Oryzias latipes: one gene and its partners. Each later gene encodes a partner of the first gene's protein in a complex. Links are inferred from orthologs where the notes say so. Each region holds a gene or a part of one and is shown in the gene's direction. Other genes may lie near its edges.

The links.
Region 2: taf1b (region 1) and polr1b share a complex: the UniProt entries of both Homo sapiens proteins name them as parts of the pol I pre-initiation complex. The link is inferred for Oryzias latipes from reciprocal best matches to the Homo sapiens genes TAF1B and POLR1B.
Region 3: taf1b (region 1) and znrd1 share a complex: the UniProt entries of both Homo sapiens proteins name them as parts of the pol I pre-initiation complex. The link is inferred for Oryzias latipes from reciprocal best matches to the Homo sapiens genes TAF1B and POLR1H.
Region 4: taf1b (region 1) and polr2f share a complex: the UniProt entries of both Homo sapiens proteins name them as parts of the pol I pre-initiation complex. The link is inferred for Oryzias latipes from reciprocal best matches to the Homo sapiens genes TAF1B and POLR2F.
Region 5: taf1b (region 1) and rrn3 share a complex: the UniProt entries of both Homo sapiens proteins name them as parts of the pol I pre-initiation complex. The link is inferred for Oryzias latipes from reciprocal best matches to the Homo sapiens genes TAF1B and RRN3.

The regions. Positions count from the first base shown.
Region 1 is NC_019882.2:22,300,534-22,303,406, reverse strand, and holds part of taf1b (TATA box-binding protein-associated factor RNA polymerase I subunit B), read left to right. Parts: intron 1-202; coding exon 203-300; intron 301-373; coding exon 374-466; intron 467-714; coding exon 715-820; intron 821-1,698; coding exon 1,699-1,852; intron 1,853-1,919; coding exon 1,920-2,019; intron 2,020-2,101; coding exon 2,102-2,249; intron 2,250-2,325; coding exon 2,326-2,500; intron 2,501-2,583; coding exon 2,584-2,621; intron 2,622-2,692; coding exon 2,693-2,780; intron 2,781-2,873. UniProt on the Homo sapiens protein: Component of RNA polymerase I core factor complex that acts as a GTF2B/TFIIB-like factor and plays a key role in multiple steps during transcription initiation such as pre-initiation complex (PIC) assembly and postpolymerase recruitment events in polymerase I (Pol I) transcription.
Region 2 is NC_019873.2:3,647,199-3,649,616, reverse strand, and holds part of polr1b (DNA-directed RNA polymerase I subunit RPA2), read left to right. Parts: intron 1-522; coding exon 523-697; intron 698-772; coding exon 773-1,054; intron 1,055-1,135; coding exon 1,136-1,269; intron 1,270-1,336; coding exon 1,337-1,507; intron 1,508-1,607; coding exon 1,608-1,764; intron 1,765-1,857; coding exon 1,858-2,054; intron 2,055-2,418. UniProt on the Homo sapiens protein: Catalytic core component of RNA polymerase I (Pol I), a DNA-dependent RNA polymerase which synthesizes ribosomal RNA precursors using the four ribonucleoside triphosphates as substrates.
Region 3 is NC_019869.2:21,549,143-21,553,134, forward strand, and holds znrd1 (DNA-directed RNA polymerase I subunit RPA12), read left to right. Parts: upstream 1-1,425; 5' UTR 1,426-1,547; exon of another isoform or gene 1,548-1,687; 5' UTR 1,688-1,698; coding exon 1,699-1,816; intron 1,817-2,490; coding exon 2,491-2,594; intron 2,595-2,675; coding exon 2,676-2,785; intron 2,786-2,858; coding exon 2,859-2,883; 3' UTR 2,884-3,485; downstream 3,486-3,992. UniProt on the Homo sapiens protein: Core component of RNA polymerase I (Pol I), a DNA-dependent RNA polymerase which synthesizes ribosomal RNA precursors using the four ribonucleoside triphosphates as substrates. Can mediate Pol I proofreading of the nascent RNA transcript.
Region 4 is NC_019866.2:19,813,543-19,817,725, forward strand, and holds polr2f (DNA-directed RNA polymerases I, II, and III subunit RPABC2), read left to right. Parts: upstream 1-1,382; 5' UTR 1,383-1,517; coding exon 1,518-1,537; intron 1,538-1,678; coding exon 1,679-1,748; intron 1,749-1,858; coding exon 1,859-1,989; intron 1,990-3,355; coding exon 3,356-3,427; intron 3,428-3,513; coding exon 3,514-3,604; 3' UTR 3,605-3,835; downstream 3,836-4,183. UniProt on the Homo sapiens protein: DNA-dependent RNA polymerase catalyzes the transcription of DNA into RNA using the four ribonucleoside triphosphates as substrates.
Region 5 is NC_019866.2:25,533,897-25,537,414, reverse strand, and holds part of rrn3 (RNA polymerase I-specific transcription initiation factor RRN3), read left to right. Parts: intron 1-347; coding exon 348-431; intron 432-519; coding exon 520-643; intron 644-2,387; coding exon 2,388-2,518; intron 2,519-3,518. UniProt on the Homo sapiens protein: Required for efficient transcription initiation by RNA polymerase I (Pol I). Required for the formation of the competent pre-initiation complex (PIC).

The DNA.
Region 1 (2,873 bases):
TTGTCTTCCTCCAGCATCCTCTGATCTTCAGGCTCCTCCATGAATCCTTGTTGCTTCTAAACTCTGGAACTCTCATTCAGACATTTGCTTCGTTTCCAGTTTTAGATCTTTGAAAATGCTTTTGGGTTCCTCTCAGTTTGATGGCAGTGCCCATCTGAAACGTTTGTGTTTCTTTGTCTCACACGTGTTCTGTGTCGTTCAGGTGGCCGTCACACATGGATGGTCTGTGAAGGTTTCCAGTTCATCCTGATGAACCAGGCGGATGCCCTGCTTAGGCTGGGAGTCCATCCTCACTTCAAGGTCTGAATCTGTCCGTATTGATCTGCCATCGATGCCTGAGCCCGTCTGATCAGTGTGTGGCTCGCCGCTTTAGGACGGCGTGCTGCGTCAGCTGTGGAGGCTCTACTTGCAGAAGAGCCGGCAGGCTTACTGCGTCAACCGAGTTAGGAGCGCCAAGTTCAGAGTGGTCAGTTTCAGTCTGTGACTCACCTTCCTTTGAAAATCTGTGCTGAGATAATCATATACATGATTTCAATGAGTACTAACACGGATGTTTATTTATTCATATGCTCTCCATGCTTTTTCATAACTGGAGGGATATCAGTTTAGTCTGAATTTTTAGATCCACTCAAATGCAGGAACAAACATAAATGTCTTCAGAGGAAGAGTGATGATGACTGCAGCAGCCTTCTGTTCTGTCCCCCCCCCCCCCAGGGAGACGCAGACTCGGATTCAGACAGCGCAGCCGAGGCGTCTGTGGCATCAGCCAGCGGGACGGATGGAGAGTCAAATCCCTGCAGCAGCCCCAGCTCTAAAGGAGGTATGTTTGACTCCCCCAGCAGGAGCAGCTGGGGTCAGCCATGAAGTCTTTGGTCACTGGACTATGGAGACGCCAGACCTCAGATCTCTGCCGTCTGGGGGACTACAGGGGGGTCTGACTTTGAAATGAGTGAATTATTATTATTATCTAATTATTGAATTAGACTACTGACAGAAAGTTGGAGATATTACTAATAACTAAAAATTAATGAGAAAAAAACATTTTCATTAGGTTAATATTACCCCTAAAATGAGGACAATAATAAAAATAGCCCCAAATAACAGAAATGTCAATAGTGGGTATTTGCAGCATTTGCATCAACAGCAGCTTGACAGTGACGTCTCCTCACCAACCTCATGGTGTTGGTCTGAACCAATCTTCCATAAGTGCTGCATGTAGTTCTGCAGCTCACTTGGGGGTGGGATACCATCATCCAGTCTGCTTCAGCTGGTCCCAGACGTTCTCTATGGGTTTCAGGTCAAGGGTCATTGCTGGTCATACCACATGAGCTACTCCCACTTCCTGAAGTCCTGCTGTGACAGTACTGGTACCATGTGATAGGGTGTAATCATCCATGAACAGAAAGCTGGGGGTGTTCTGGTGGAATTGGGGGATGAGAATGGTTCTATGATGTCTCTGAGGTTAGAACATTCAGTGACTGGGTCATTTACAATAACCAAATCAGTTTGACCCTGACTGGTGATACCTGTCCAGACTGTTACACCTCCTTCCCCAAAGCCAACCCTGAGGACCTTTGACCTCGGCGTATCGCTCACCACGTCTCTGTGTATATCACATCCACTGAGTTTGTTGTTTTTTTCACAATATCCATGACGTATTGTGAGTATTGTATGTTGAAATGTAGCCTAATCCCTCAGGCAGTGACTGGTCTGGATCAGCGGACAGCCTCTGTTACCTGACTCCCCGTCAGAGGCGGAGCCATAGACTCCTGAGCCTGAAGAAGACTCTGGCCCTGATCCACTTGGCCTTGGTCTGGAGCCGGGAGGCGCTGACTCTCAGCGACCTGCTTGGGTAATCTGCTCCTCCAAACCAGGCGTTGGACTGCTGGATGTTGGGCTGATCCTGTGTTTGCTCTCAGACTGGTGAACTGTGGAAGCGTCCCGTATGTGAAGGCCCATGAGCAGCTCCCAGAGCAGATGAAGCTGTTCGGCAAAGATGCTCTTCTGTTTACTGCAGAGGTAACGACCTGGAGTGAGTGAGCTGCTGACCTCTGCCCTGTGTTCTCCTGTTTGTTGACGATGTGGTGAACTGTCTCTGCAGACGGTACCGTCTCACCGCTCGCTGCATAAGGAGGCTCAGGATCTGCTTCTGTTCCTGCAACTTCCAGCGTTTCCTCCCATCAGCCAGCAGACTCTGCTCCACCCGGGGCCACTGAGCCTGCGCTACCTGATCGATGCAAACCTGCCCGGTAACAGCTTCCTCCGTCCCAGCTGACAGACAGACATGCATGCTGCGCGGGCTGAGCGGCTCCTTCCTGTCTGCAGGTGAGCTGCACAGGTGGGTCTGCAGAGTGGCGGAGCTCGCAGGTTTGTTCCATGAAAGCCGCCAGACGTTCCACCCCGAGTCCCAGCCCACCCTGCCCCGGTACGACCTGCAGGCGGCAGCGCTCATTATCGTCACCATGAAGCTCCTCTTTGGCCTGGACGACCACACCGAATGGTAACCCCCCCTGCCCTGCCCTCCCCACCCCCCTACATCCATTCCACAGACAGGTCGTCTCACTGCGGTTCTCCTGGTTTCAGGGAGCTGTCCAACAACGCCAGGTCCACAGACGGAGAGGGTCCGTGAGTGCCCCCTGTGTGTGAGTCCTCTTGGTGGGGGCTCTTCAAGCTCATGCTTTCTCTCTGACAGGGGCCCAGTTTAACCTGCGAAGGTGGTACAAACTGATGCAGACCGCTCTGAACCGAGCTCAGCAGAGGAGGGACCAGGACACAGCCAGGTGAGGTTGTTCCTCGGTTCCAGTTTGTCGGACTCCTGCAGATCCTTCAGGTCACTTCTGGCAATATTTTTAAATCTGACTTTTGGGCGCTTT
Region 2 (2,418 bases), on another chromosome or scaffold:
CGACCGTTCAATGTGGAACCACCCACTCTTATTAAGTCATGTGATTGGTCAGTTTATAACTTGAAAAAGTTGCGCTACAACAAAAATATGGGAAAAAAATAGGATTGTCAAGAAAATGTTTTAAAAAAAATTTTACAGACAAAGAAGGATTATTTGGACCAACAGAATGACTGAGTAACAGCTTTTCATTTTAGATTCTTGGAGTCAGAAGCTACTTCCTGTTTGGAACGCCAGGGGGAGGGGCCACTCAGTCTAGTTCTCTAATTGGCTACAGACCTTGTCAATGAATCTCCTCTGTGTTGTGTCTTCTGGACAGAAAGTGTTCAGTTTTGCCAAATTTTCATAAATATTTAATCGCGATCAGATCTTTGTTTTTATTCTGAAATCCTGGTCTCTCTTTTTTTCTATTTTTAGAGCGTATCCCCCCGGGATACATGAGGGAAGGCTGTACTGTAAATGTTATGACCTTGACTTTTAAATCTTAAAGTTCTAGTTTCATGTTCCTCGTCTTTAACACTGCAGGAGAGAATGACTGCATGGCTGGTGTCTGTGAAGCTGTCCTTTGACAAAAGAGGATCCAAAGTGTTTGCAAGGGGATGGAGCACAGAAAATGTCATAAAGATGCTGAACATGGGCTCTGATGTCACCAAACCTTTTGAATATCTCTTGGCTACTGGAAACCTAAATTCTAAGACGGGTGCATATCCACACTCTTTATATATATATTTTTAAACTTCAATAGTTGCTTTGTTCTAAATGTTTTCTTTCACAGGTCTCGGCATGCTGCAGAACTCGGGCCTCTGCGTTGTCGCTGACAAGCTGAACTTCATCCGCTACCTTTCTCACTTCCGCTGTGTGCACAGAGGAGCAGCGTTCGCCAAGATGAGGACCACCTCAGTCCGTAAGCTGCTGCCCGAGTCCTGGGGCTTCCTGTGTCCCGTCCACACTCCAGACGGAGAGCCTTGTGGACTCATGAACCACATGACTGCCAGCTGTGAGGTGGTGGCAGCATCCAGTCCCACCACGTCGCTGCCTGCACTGCTCTGTTCCCTCGGTAAGCTCCAAACATTTTTACAAAGTGCACATTGCTCCTCAGCGGCTGAAAATGGAAATGGTCCTGTTTTCGGTGTGTGAGGTGTTACTCCGGTGGATGGTACTCCTGCTCAGGCCTTCTCTGACTGCTACCCTGTGGTGTTGGATGGCTCTGTTGTTGGCTGGGTGGAGACCGACTTGGCTCCAGCTGTTGTTGATGCAATGCGGAGGTTCAAGGTACGAGAAGGATGTTAGACAAGTAGTGACCTTGGAAGCAGAAACCTGATGACTAACGTGTGTGCAGGTGCTGAGGGAGAGGAAGGTTCCTCCCTGGACTGAGATCGTCCTGGTTCCTAAAACTGGAAAAGCCAGCTTGTATCCAGGTCTGTTCCTCTTCACAACACCTTGCCGGATGATGCGGCCCGTTCAAAACCTGGCTCTTGGCAAACAGGAGTTCATTGGCACCTTTGAGCAGGTATATGTTTAGCTGGTGCACGTTGAAAGACATTCTTGCCATCGAGACGGTCATCGGAGGACAGCTGTCCAAGTAAAACGGGTTTACTTTTCTGCCGTAGCTTTACACCAATGTTGGAATTTTAGAAGAGGAGATTGAAGCAGGAGTTACCACACACCAGGAGCTCTTCCCTCACAGTATGCTGAGCGTGGTGGCAAACTTCATCCCTTTCTCAGACCACAACCAGAGTCCTAGAAACATGTACCAGTGTCAGATGGGTAAGTGGGTGGGATCAGAAATGTTCATTGAAGGCTAACACCAATTTGGAGTCCAAAGTCCTGAAATTGTTGACCCTAAACTGTTTGTTTCAGGTAAACAAACGATGGGCTTCCCTCTACACTCGTTTATGGATCGCTCGGACAATAAGCTGTACCGACTACAGACGCCACAGAGCGCCCTCGTCAGGCCCTACATGTACGATCACTACAATCTGGACAACTATCCAAGCGGCACAAACGCCATCGTCGCCGTCATATCCTACACCGGCTACGACATGGAAGATGCTATGGTGAATTCAACACAATAGTTTTTACATTTCTACAGATGGGATTTGATCATCTTTTGAGCTATTTTCAAAGCATTCCCAGTAGGGATGCTACTCCATTCTGATCATCCTCTTACAGATAGATCCATGAACGTCTTTATTTTCCTCGTCTGAGCTGGAATCTGGCTCTAAACTGTACGGCTGGATAGCTCTGATATTGGTCGACATTTTTGTTTCTCTGATAATGTTAGTTAGGGGTTGTGACGGGAATTGGTTTGCCTGAGATGGTGTAAACAAAGGCATGATGGGAAATGGAGGAAGGGTCACTCTATGCCAGCGGTCCCGCCCACAACTTCAGGGTGAATTTCTGATGAACTCCTGCTGGTCT
Region 3 (3,992 bases), on another chromosome or scaffold:
AAGCCAGACTGATAGATCGGCACATACCTGCTGCCAGAGAGCCTGGACAGGCGTGCAGAACCATAGTGCATGCATGTAACTGTCGGGTAGATTACTTTCACAGTGCTCACAAATGTCTGAGTTACTGAAACCCATCTTGACCATCCTCTGTCCAGTGTAGTAAATTCTGTGAAGAGTTTTGAAATGGATTAGCTGCAGATTTGGACTTTTGGTCAGTTTAAAGGTGTTTAGACAAAGTTCTGACCAGAAGCTTTAATCTGTGCTGATGCTCAAATCCGCATCCCATTTTGTTGTCGGAAGTGAAATATTATTATCTAAATTACATAAAAGTTTGTATATTTTGGAGAGAGTTTTTTTCATTGAGAAATTAATCAGAGTGGTAACTACGTCTGGTAGCTTGAAATCGTTGTCTCTGTATTTAAACTTTTTAGTAATAATTGATTTAAGTTGCTGATATTCCAAGAAGTTATTTATTCCATGTTTGTCTTGAAGTTCCTGGGGAGTTATGAATCTACTATCAATAATTATGTGCTCTAGTTGTTTTATGCCCCCTGCTTGCCAATTTATGTCGATTTAAATAGGCAAGCAGGTTGTTTTTATTTTATCAGGTTGTAATTTATTTTTAAAAACCTTGTTTAAATCTAATTTTGTCTTGAGGCTGTGGGCAAAGATATAAATACGGATTAATTGCCTTGTGTGTGAAACTGGAGGCTCAATTTTTTACAGATCGGAATTTAATTACAATTATTTGAGAGGAAACTGCAAAAAACTACATGTAGATATGCAATTGTGGCCAGAAGTACAAACAGGATTTACCAGGAAAAGCATTAATTCCTAGGAAAAATAAAGGAGGCTATTCAATTAAATTGTTGCCAGCTTGAATACTTAAATGCAAAAGCTCCCAGGTGAACTGATAATTCCTAAATTTGCTAAACATCTGAAATTATTAGAAAAACTCAATAATGAACAATGCCACAAATGCAATATTACAAGATAATACTGCTGTGAGAAATAACAAAAAAACAACTAAATATGTTGAGCAACCAAAGGAATTTGATGCAAGCTAAGTGCTTAATTTGCTAAATACATTTTAAAATTATTTTTTTTAAAATAATGGATTTAAAAAGACAGAAAAACCATCAAACATTTGCGAGAAAGGAAACAAAATGACATTTATTAATTCGATTTTTGGCTAACTGAAACATTAGAGGTGAAAATATCTGGATTAAAACACACTTATAAAGTTACAGTAGTCTAAAACCTTCATATAACTTACAACAGTAGTAAGTGATGAATTTATAAGAGTCAACTACGAATAAATAAGGTCTTTTGAGTTGTAAAACGTTGGAACATCCTTAAAATTTAGGGTCAAATGAAGGAAAACTACAATGGTGTCATTCACATTTCTGTCCACTACGAGGCGCTCGTGTTTACGTGACATTACCATCTTCTAGTTAACATGAAGAAGAAGAGCGCACAACAACACCCAATGCGGGCGAGGAGAAAGTAAATTATTGTCTGTTTTTGTGCAAACAGCCATCGATCAGGTAATTATCCTCAAATCACTCCTCCGAGAGCCCGCGCGCGCCCACCCACGTGCCTGCAAGTTAGCATGATGTGTTAGCTATCTGTCTGTCGGACTGTTGTTGTGTCACGTGCTCTGAACATAGCCGCCGCGCTTCCTCAGAACCAGAGCAAATGTCTTCAAACGGCCGCGACCCCAACTTCTGTCAGGATTGTGGCAGCGTCCTGCCGTTGCCAGGACTGTCCGACACGGTGCGCTGCCCTCGCTGCTGTCTCTGCACGCCCGTGACAGGTAAGCGGTCCACGCCGCCATGAGAGTCTGCCTGCTCTGCTGCTGGTTCATGTCCCTCAAGAACCGAATGGCTTTTAAGCACCAAGAGTACAGTCAAAACTACCGGTTTACTGAAAATGAGGCACTCAGTCTGACATTTCCCTCCATTTTTTATTTGTTTTTGATCAGCAACTACCTTTAAGTTCACATTATGTGTAAGTTCTTCCTTGATTTTTTAGTTTCTCTGATTTGACTGCCCTCCTTTCTTAATGACTAGTATGCTTTAACAAGAATGGGAAATAAAAAGCAACCACCTAAAACTGCTCAAATGAAACATTTCAGACAAATCAATTTAGCATATGATCAACATCAGTCATTGAATTTCTTCCTCAGCCGGTCTGTGGAGCAGTGATGAGACAGTAACCTCTGCTGGGCTCACTCCTCCTCCCTGGGAAGGCCTCATATTGGGGTTGGAGATCCACTGGCAGCTCATACATGTGTCCTTTACCACGTGACACTATCACAGGTCATGGGAAGGATGTTGAGGATTCAGAAGAACTCTGTTGCTGAAAGTTACTCTTAATGCTTTCATGAAATTATTTGAGCCAGTCTGCACTGACAAAAGGGTTCTCCTGATGTCTCTCTAACAGGTCTAATCTGTCCAATCCTCTAACTGTGCTGCTTTTGCTCTGCAGAGTTCTTGGGAAGAGAAATTCAGTCTGGGGTTATCTTCAACCCCGCTGAGCAGACCTTGCTGGCTCTGGAGGATGAGGAGAACTCAGAGCTGAAGGGCCCTGTGGTAAAAGCAGCCGTCCGCTCAGCAGTGGAGCGTTCGTTGTCGCGGTAACGCCTCACGGTTTGCTTCTTGCCTTGCTTGCAGATTGACCGACGCTGCACTCGCTGCAATAAGGAAGGCATGATCTACCACACTAGGCAGATGAGATCTGCAGATGAAGGACAGACGGTCTTCTTCACCTGCATCCACTGCAGGTAGGTGGCGTCAGCGTGACCCTCCTGTCCTGCTGTACGGTTCTGGAGCTGACCGGTCTTTGTCTTGTTTCAGGTTCCAGGAAAAGGAGGACTCCTGAGAAAAGCTTTTGCTTACTATCTGATCACAATCACCTCAACTCTGGTTCTGTTTTGATCCAGGGAGCTGCTTTTTTGTAGTGATGAGCTGTTTCTGTTTGTTAAACTGAACTTGTGCATGTTCTGGTGCACGTGTTGGTCCTCTCCACCTTTGTCACACATGACACTGGTCAGTTCATCGGGACTCTACAAGAAAAAAAACAGGAATCGATGTCTCAGATTTAAACTGCAGCCACGGAGGCTCAGGACAATCAGGTATACATTTTACACAAGTCAACTAAAGTGAAGGAGCAGGACAGCAACTCAGCAAACTAACCAGAAACAATAAAACTGTATCAGCTGTTTATATTTATTTTTCCTGAAGCATACCCTGATTCTCAACTGGACAGCTGTTAGTACTTGCGCGCATTTTCTCAGAAAATGATCTCTTTATAGTTTGATTAATTTCTTTAAAACTCTTGTCAAAGACCAGAAAACTGTCATCCTATGTTTTTATAAAGTATTCTACCAAATTTGAACTGTTGTATCCAGTAAGGCTTCAACTTACATCTCACATGGCTGTTAAATTGTTCTTTAAATGATAAAGAACGCTCTTGGTATCTGACATGTTCTTTTTGTTGATTTATTGAAGCAGAATGGTAAACGGCGTATACTTATTTAGCCCCTTAACTATCTTCTTGGAGCATTTTACAGTCACAGTTCCATTCACCCATGAACACACACACTGATTGTGGCTCAGCTACCAAACCATGTTGCCAACCTATAACCCCCAGAAGCAAGGTGGGGTTCAGTGTCTTAACCTTGGACACATGGGCGGGTAGGGTGGGAATTAAACCTGCAACCTCTTGATCAGGGGTTGACCGCTCTACTTCTGCACCACAACTGCCCTGTTAAGTTGCCAGCAGCATTTAGAAAAAAACAGTTCAACCTCCTTGGTCTAGTTTGGTCCTCCTGGGCCTCAGTAGCTCTCCATCATACCTATACCCCCCCCCCCCCCCCAATCTCTCTCTAAAGCCTTTTTAATAACTGCCCCCCTCATCTATTATCCACAGGAGATGCACAAGCAGGCAAGCTATTTGGCATAAAAGTAAACTCTTACAAAAACTCTTCA
Region 4 (4,183 bases), on another chromosome or scaffold:
AACCAATTCCTACTGATGTTATTTTTTTACCACTTTTTTAAAACCCTGTTTTAAGAAAAATATTTTTCCAAACCTGCATCACTAGAAAATGCTTAAAGTTGTTGTCCTACAGATTTCTTCTGAGACAAAATCAGCCATGCAGATTCCTGCACTATCTTTTGCTATATTTACTTTTTAGTTTTTTTTAGTAATTTGGTTAAAGGGGTTCATCAGAAAATGTATAGAAAACTGTGAAAGAGAGCAATTTTACAAGTGACATTTTTTTAAAAGGTTGTGACAAGAATCTCCTGTCAAATGTTCACTTTTATTGTAAATTATTGCAACTTGTTGTTTACTAAATTAACAAAGAATCAATTGCATATTTCATAGTTGGGCTATATTTGAAAAAAAAAAGTTTATGTGTAACCAACAAACAGGATTAATTTTGTTGTTAAAAACGTGAACATTTCTTCCTTTTTGTGTTTAGAAATTCTTACCCATCCACTGCTATATTTATAAAATAGGTAATGAAGAATTGTTTTAAAAGAAATCTCTTTTGTATAGACACATTTTATTAAATAAGTGAAGAATCTAAATGGATCTGTTCTTTGACAAAGTGCCAGCTGTTTGAGCTTAACCCTAGCAAAAAGTTGACGCTTTTATTTTTTTAAGTTTGCTTGAATATAAGTATAAAGCAAGTACGCTGTACTAAAGACCATGTTCATGTAGTGTAGAGATGAAGTATACTAACAGAATATTTCTTGAGACTGGAAATTGGAAATTTTAAGTTTACAATATCTAGATTTTATCTTGACATTATATTTTAAAAAAATAAACGTCAAGTATACTGCCTCACATTTATAAGTATACTTGTAGTACACTTAAATAGACTACTTCTTGCAATGAGTATTCTTACATAAGACAGGAAAGCACTTGCAAAAACATTTTTATGTTGTTTATTGTGAATATCTTTTCATTTGATCACGTAGGAAAATATATTAGATGAAGAGTAAAAAAAACAGAATCCAGCCTTAGCTCTGAATGTTTTTTCGCATTCGGTTGACCCAATTCTGTTCTTTAACTTTGCACTAAGTGACATGCCATTGTTACTCGTTTTCTATAAATGCAGGGCAAAAAATTAAGAATTATTAGTATTCATTTTCTCTCAAGGGTACATTAAAATAAATGTTGAAAACTATCATTTTGGTGTCTTCTTTTTCTCTAAAGGTACAGCCTTGGTTTTCCATAGTTTGATGGATTTATATTTATTTCTAGTTGAAGTTTATTTTGTTTAGGATACTTGACTATAATAGAAAGTAAGCTTTTTATATACTATTTGTTTGCTTGTTTTTAAATTGAATTAGAAAAAGGTAGGACAAAAAAAGAAATTCTAGTTGAGAAGCCGGACATAATTTTTCAGCGTACACGCGCACCGGAAGTTTAGAGACCACAACGCTCAATGTGGTTTAGCCTCTAAATTAAATTTGCTGCTAATAAACTCTATTAGTATCTATATTGGAAAAAATATAAGTTAAAACATGTCTGATAACGAAGACAAGTAAGTTGTGATCTATGTTCATCAAATAATGTCATGGTATATGTTAATTTTAAATCTATTTTAGCGTGTAGCCTGTTAGCTAAGCTAGGTTACGACTTCACCGTTTTCGGTCTTTGATACAGTTTTTGTCAACATTTGCAGCTTTGATGATGGAGACTTTGAGGACGCCGATGAGGACGAAGGATTAGACGATCTGGAAAACGTGGAAGATGTATGTTCGTCTGCACTTTTTTCATTTAGTGGATCATATTTGGGGTTCATTATTCATGATTTCTATCTGGCAGTCTAATCAGATGCTTGTTTTCCTTGGATGATCATCAGGAGGACCAGGAGAACGTACAGATCCTCCCCGCAGGAGAGGGGCAGCAGGCTAACCAGAAAAGGATTACAACACCGCACATGACCAAATATGAGAGAGCGAGAGTGCTGGGAACACGAGCCCTCCAAATAGCGTGAGTTGTTTACTGTAAAATAAGCGCTTTACTCTTCTAAACCAATAAGTTAGGCTTCCAAACATTTGTGGCTTTGTTGTTCTTCTTATTTTATTTTGCTAATTTGTCGTGTGGAGCAGCTGATCAAACAGATGAGAGCTGAAGGCCCCTGGTGTTGGACAGATTGTAATGTTACCATAGGAGTTTTGAAGCTTTGGGCAGAGGAGGTTTATGTCACTACAAACCTTTTTGTATTGAGGCTTAACTTTATTTTATTAATATTTGTGCTTATTGAACTATGCTGCATGTACCCCATCTTTGCCCCAAAACAGCTAGGATAGGCTCCTTCAGACCCTGATCTACAATAGGCCGGTTTTAGAAAAATGATGGACTTGTGTCCATTCCTTTTTGGACCGGAGAAAACGGAGAAGGATAGTGGGATATTAGGGATGGGGGGGACAAGATAGAAAAGGACATATAGAAGTTGGAGAGTCACCAAAGAAACACACCATTGCAAACAAAAAGAGACAAAACGTTGCTAGAGGTTATTTATAACTTTCACAATTAGATGTTTATGTTTATCGCACACACTGAATATTATAAACATTCCTGTTGCCCTCAAAAACCTTCACTCTTGCATATTGTCATGTACACAACACAGATAGAGATCAGATAAATATGCACCTTCATTTGCATAAAAGCAGATACAATCTCATACAAAAGTCCTTTTCTGAGCCAAGGTGAGTGGGCATTGGTGCTTAGTTTTTTTGTCTGTGTTCTACTGTGGACAATGATGGTATGAAGCGTAATGAATAAAAAAAAGGGGGGGAGCACCTGGTCGTCCCACACCAAGCCCCCCAGAATGAGGTGAGGCAGTAGCGGCAGCCAGGACCACCACAGCCAGGAGGGAATCCACCACCCCAGTGACCCGATACCAGCCATCCATACCAGAGGAGGGACTGCCGAAATAGTCCCCAGCACCAAAGAGCAAGGAGTCACAGGAGCATGGAGAATGCACGCCCTGGCCCAGCTAGAGAAAAGCCCCCCAGCTGTGCTATGGGCCCATCACGAGGTCCCAACTGGTTGCTGCAGATCACGTGTTTCAGGGACAAACAAAAAAATCTTTGCATCTCATTTTGTCAAAATGACACTGAATTACATTTCTCAGTTTTGCAGCTTTGAAGGCAGGTTCTGGGTTTGAACCTGGTTGTTGACATCTCTGTGTTTTTGTGTTTGGGCCGTTTAAGGACACACTGGTTTGAAAAGTGTGTGTGTGAATGAACAGTCCATGAATCCTCTGCCCCGCCTGTTTTCTGGCTTTAAAATAATGACATTTTACTTCAATTTGGGATTTATTTTGAGGATTTTGTCGTTGTTCTGCCGACAGCATGTGCGCTCCTGTGATGGTCGAGTTGGAGGGAGAAACAGACCCCTTGCAGATCGCCATGAAGGAACTAAAGTACATCAGATTATTCCATTTCTGTCTAAATTCTTTCATCTTGTTTTGTTCCTGGTAACTCAATGTTTGCCGTTTGTTCTGAACAGGAGCAGAAAGATCCCCATCATCATCCGCAGGTACCTCCCCGACGGCAGCTACGAGGACTGGGGCTGTGATGAGCTCATCATTACCGACTAAACAAACCTGGACTTTCAGCTGAACTTCAGAGCTTCGATGATACCAAACAGAAGCAGCAAATGCAGTCATTTTAAAACCTGCTTTGCAAGCATGAGCCAGTAGGGGGAGACATAACTTTGTTTAAACACATTTTTTTAACAAACTGAACTTTTGTTGTAAGTATTCCAAGTGTTGATTTTGATCAGAGATCATCTGTTTTATTGTTATAAATAAAGTCTTTTTTTATGATAATTTCACGGTTTCTGACTGTTATTATTAAAGTTTTAATGTCAGCATGAGTCATAGTCAGGGAAAAAATGGTCAGTTTTGGTCATTTAAAAAAAGAACCAAATCAGTTGATTAAACTTCAAGAATCATGTGGTGTTTGATTGATGCAGCTTTGATGTCAGCGGGTCTTTATTTTCCTTGAGGCTACAGCCCTTGTGGATTTGGTGAAGCCGTCAGAAAACAGACGGAGGCTCTCTCTGAGTTTATCCACGGAACCATGTGAATGAAGCAGCTCAACAGGTCGGCATTGTTCAAAGGGAGTGTTTGCCCTGGCAGAGAGACGCGCGGCGCTGGAGGAAAAACCAGTGCTCA
Region 5 (3,518 bases), on another chromosome or scaffold:
GGAAGACCACACCCCTTCCATCGAAAGCAGGCTCAGGAGAATCTGTCAAATGTGAGACCACATGCTTTTCCTGAGGCGTCTGATTGGTCAGTTAATAAATGAAATAACTAGAACTTCACACAAAATATGATGAAAAAACAGAGGATTGTCTAGGAGATGTTGAGAATCAGATCAGGAACGGTTCTTCTGATCAACAGAATGACTGAGGAACAGCTGTTTCTATAGGAGTCCATGGCATTTCAGCTTCTTGGAGCCACTCCCTTTTTGGAACGCCAGGGGGGAGGAGTCACTGTCCAGTTCTCATATAGACTCAATAGTTCTAATTAACCTTAACAACTGTGTTGCAGGTGAGTGTCTCCCGTGCAGACCTGGAGGGAGCAGAGGAGGGCGTTCAGGAGCAGAGCACAGACCAGGAGACGCTCTTCGACATGGTAACGCTGTGAACCGTTTGACATTAGACGGATCTCTGGTCAGGATGTTCTCCACATCTTTGCTTCAACAAAAACTCCTTCCCATCAGGATGAAGACGTCCCGGCGGAACAAACACCGGCGATGAAGGTGACGGTCCACCCGGTAGGAGAGAGGCTGGACGCCCTGATGACCGTACTGATGGCCTACATCAAAGACGTCTGCCACGTTAACGGTAGGCAGATCACATCTAGAAAGGATGCTGCTCTAGCTAAAGACTTTTACTTCAGAGGTGTAAAGGAGTAAAGTGGAAGGAAGAAATCCTTCAGAGGAACAGATCATGGTGGAGGTTCTGGAGATCAGTGCAGGGAAGACGTTTGGACAGGGGAAGAGCCTAGAGGAAGACCACAGGACATTTGTGAAGGCTGTTAAGGAGGATGGATGTGTGAGTGAAGAAGAGGAGAAGACTAGATGGAGGCAGAGGATTCATGTGGGAACATCAGCGGCATCAACCCTATTCCCCCTGAGCTGCTGCTCTGCCTGCTTGTTCTCTTCACCGTTGGCCTTAGACAAAGTAATGCCTTACTCACAACGGTCCTTATGGAATACAGCTCCTAAACCCCCCCAGAGGGAAACTGGGACAGACCGAGGGTTTATCATTTCTCCCCCCAGGGCCGTTCCTGATGATTAGTGGTCTATAAGGCTGATCACTGATGTTCATTTGAAACCTCCAGAGAGGAACAGGTTCAGCAGGACTTTCGTGAGGGTTTTTCAACCAAAGTTTTCATATCAATTAACATCATTTAAACGACTGATCTCTGTGAAAAGTTGAAACAAAAGTGAAGGGACATCCTCAGCACTGAAGCGTGTCTCATAAGGTCAAACTAAGATGGAAATACGTTTTATTAAGCCGAAGGTCAAAATAGTTTGGGGAGAATGTGACTGTTAATCGTCAGTAGGCCTAGCTAACAGCTACATGTTCCACCAGAATAAGAAACGGCTCCATTTGACCTCCAGCAAACACAAAGGAGAAACAACTGAGCTGTTTCCCTGAGAGGTCAGACACACAACAGACACACAACAGGAGGAAACAGTCACACTGATCAATGATAGATCGGCCTGCTGCTTCACGTCCTCTGTTCACGGTTCACCGATGACTGGTTGACGTCTTCAAGTCGGCGCTCCTTACCACATCCTGGCTGTTGGAAATGAGGAAATTAGACGGTGTACTTTGTGTGAACATCCGACGGACGGGCACTTGTGTATCACGTGCACGCCAGTGTGTGCAGCATTTGCATTCGGTGAGCCAGAACTCTGACCTTTCAGACGACTAGAGTGTGGTGTAAGGACACTGTACCACAGCATCACCCGTGTGTTCCAAGTTTCCATTAGCCGTAGATGTTCTCTATGATACACGTAGCACACATACAACACTGAGGTGACCGTGCACGCCTCAAGGGGAGTGTAGGACACTCCTGCACTGGTTCCTCTCAATGACCCTCCATGGACCCAGACAACCCAAAAACCTGCAGCGCCCGTTCGGATCAACCCCCCCCCCCCCGTACACGTGCATGTGACCAAAGCTTAAAGCTGCTATCAGTTTGGATGCTTCAGCAAATCAAATCAAATCAAACTTTATAAAAGGGTGCTTCTCATGCCTCAGTGCTTTACATTTAAAAACAAACACAATATTACATAAAAAGACAACCCACTCCCCTCCATGAACACACATGACCCCTCACACAAAGAACACTTATAAATGTCACTTCTGAGAGAAACGTCTCGACTCTGCAGCAGATATCCACAGTGCAGTGTAGTCCTTCATCCACTGCCGTTAGACTCAGCCACCTGCATCAAATGTTAACGCAGTACGTTTCTTTGTGTCTCATTGCTGGACTTGTGTAACGGTGTTTGTGCTAGAATGTGTTGGTCCAGCCACAGAAACGTGTGCATCCACACCGTGCCTGTCGTCTGTGCAGGCTCTTTCCATGCTGAGCGGTCCAAGGAGCTGTTCCGAGATCTCCTGAGCATCTTTGACAAGCTCATCCTGCCCACACATGCTTCCTCACATGTGCAGTTCACCCTCTTCTACCTCTGCAGCTTCAGACTGGTCAGTTGTTCTCACACTGGATAAAAAACACGGTTCAAAAAACTAACCAGCCAGTCGATTTTCACGCAGTGCCTAAGGTAATTGATTCTATTTAATGATGTAGGAGTATGAGGGATGATCAATAGTTTTTTCATTTTACAAGACCCCTCCCATATCTTAACCAACCCCCCTCATCCCAGGTAGGGATGCTGCATTTAAGGCTTCAGATTGAGTCTTTGGTCTCAAACTTACGGATCACTGATGTGATTCTCCAAACATTCTGAGCATTTGTCTTAGTTTTATTGTATTATGTGGGGGGTGGGGGGCAGACGCAGAGGGACAGCAGCTGATACCTAATTGGAATGTCCCAAGTGTGTTTTGTGCCTTACCTGCCCAAGTGTCAAAGTGTCCTTGAGTTAAACACTGAACTCCCAGTTGGTGCCAGTGTCTGGCAGCAGAACCACTGTGCACGTGTGTTTGTGTGCGTGCATGTGTGTGTATGTGTGTGTGTGAGTTTGTACGTGTGTGGTCGTGTGTGTACATGTGTGGTTGTGTGCGTGCTTGTTTGTGTGTGTGTGTGTGTGTAGGTGTGTGCCTGTGTGTGTGTTCGTGCGTGTTTGTTTGTTTGCGTGTGTTTGTGTGTGCGTGTTTGTACGTGTGTGTACAGGTGCATGTGTAGGTGTGTGCGTGCGTGTGTGGGTGTGTGCCTGTGTGTGTGTTCGTGCGTGTTTGTGTGTGTGTTTGTGGGCGTGTGTTTGTGTGTGCGTGTCTGTACGTGTGTGTATAGGTGCGTGTGTGCAGGTGTGTGTGTACATGTGTGGGTGTGTGCGTGCTTGTTTGTGTGTGTGTGTGTGTAGGTGTGTGCCTGTGTGTGTGTTCGTGCGTGTTTGTGTGTGTGTTTGTGTGTGCGTGTTTGTACGTGTGTGTACAGGTGCATATGTACGTGTGTGTGTGCGTGTGTGGGTGTGTTCGTGCGTGTTTGTGTGTGTTTGTGTGTTTGTACGTGTGTGTATAGGTGCGT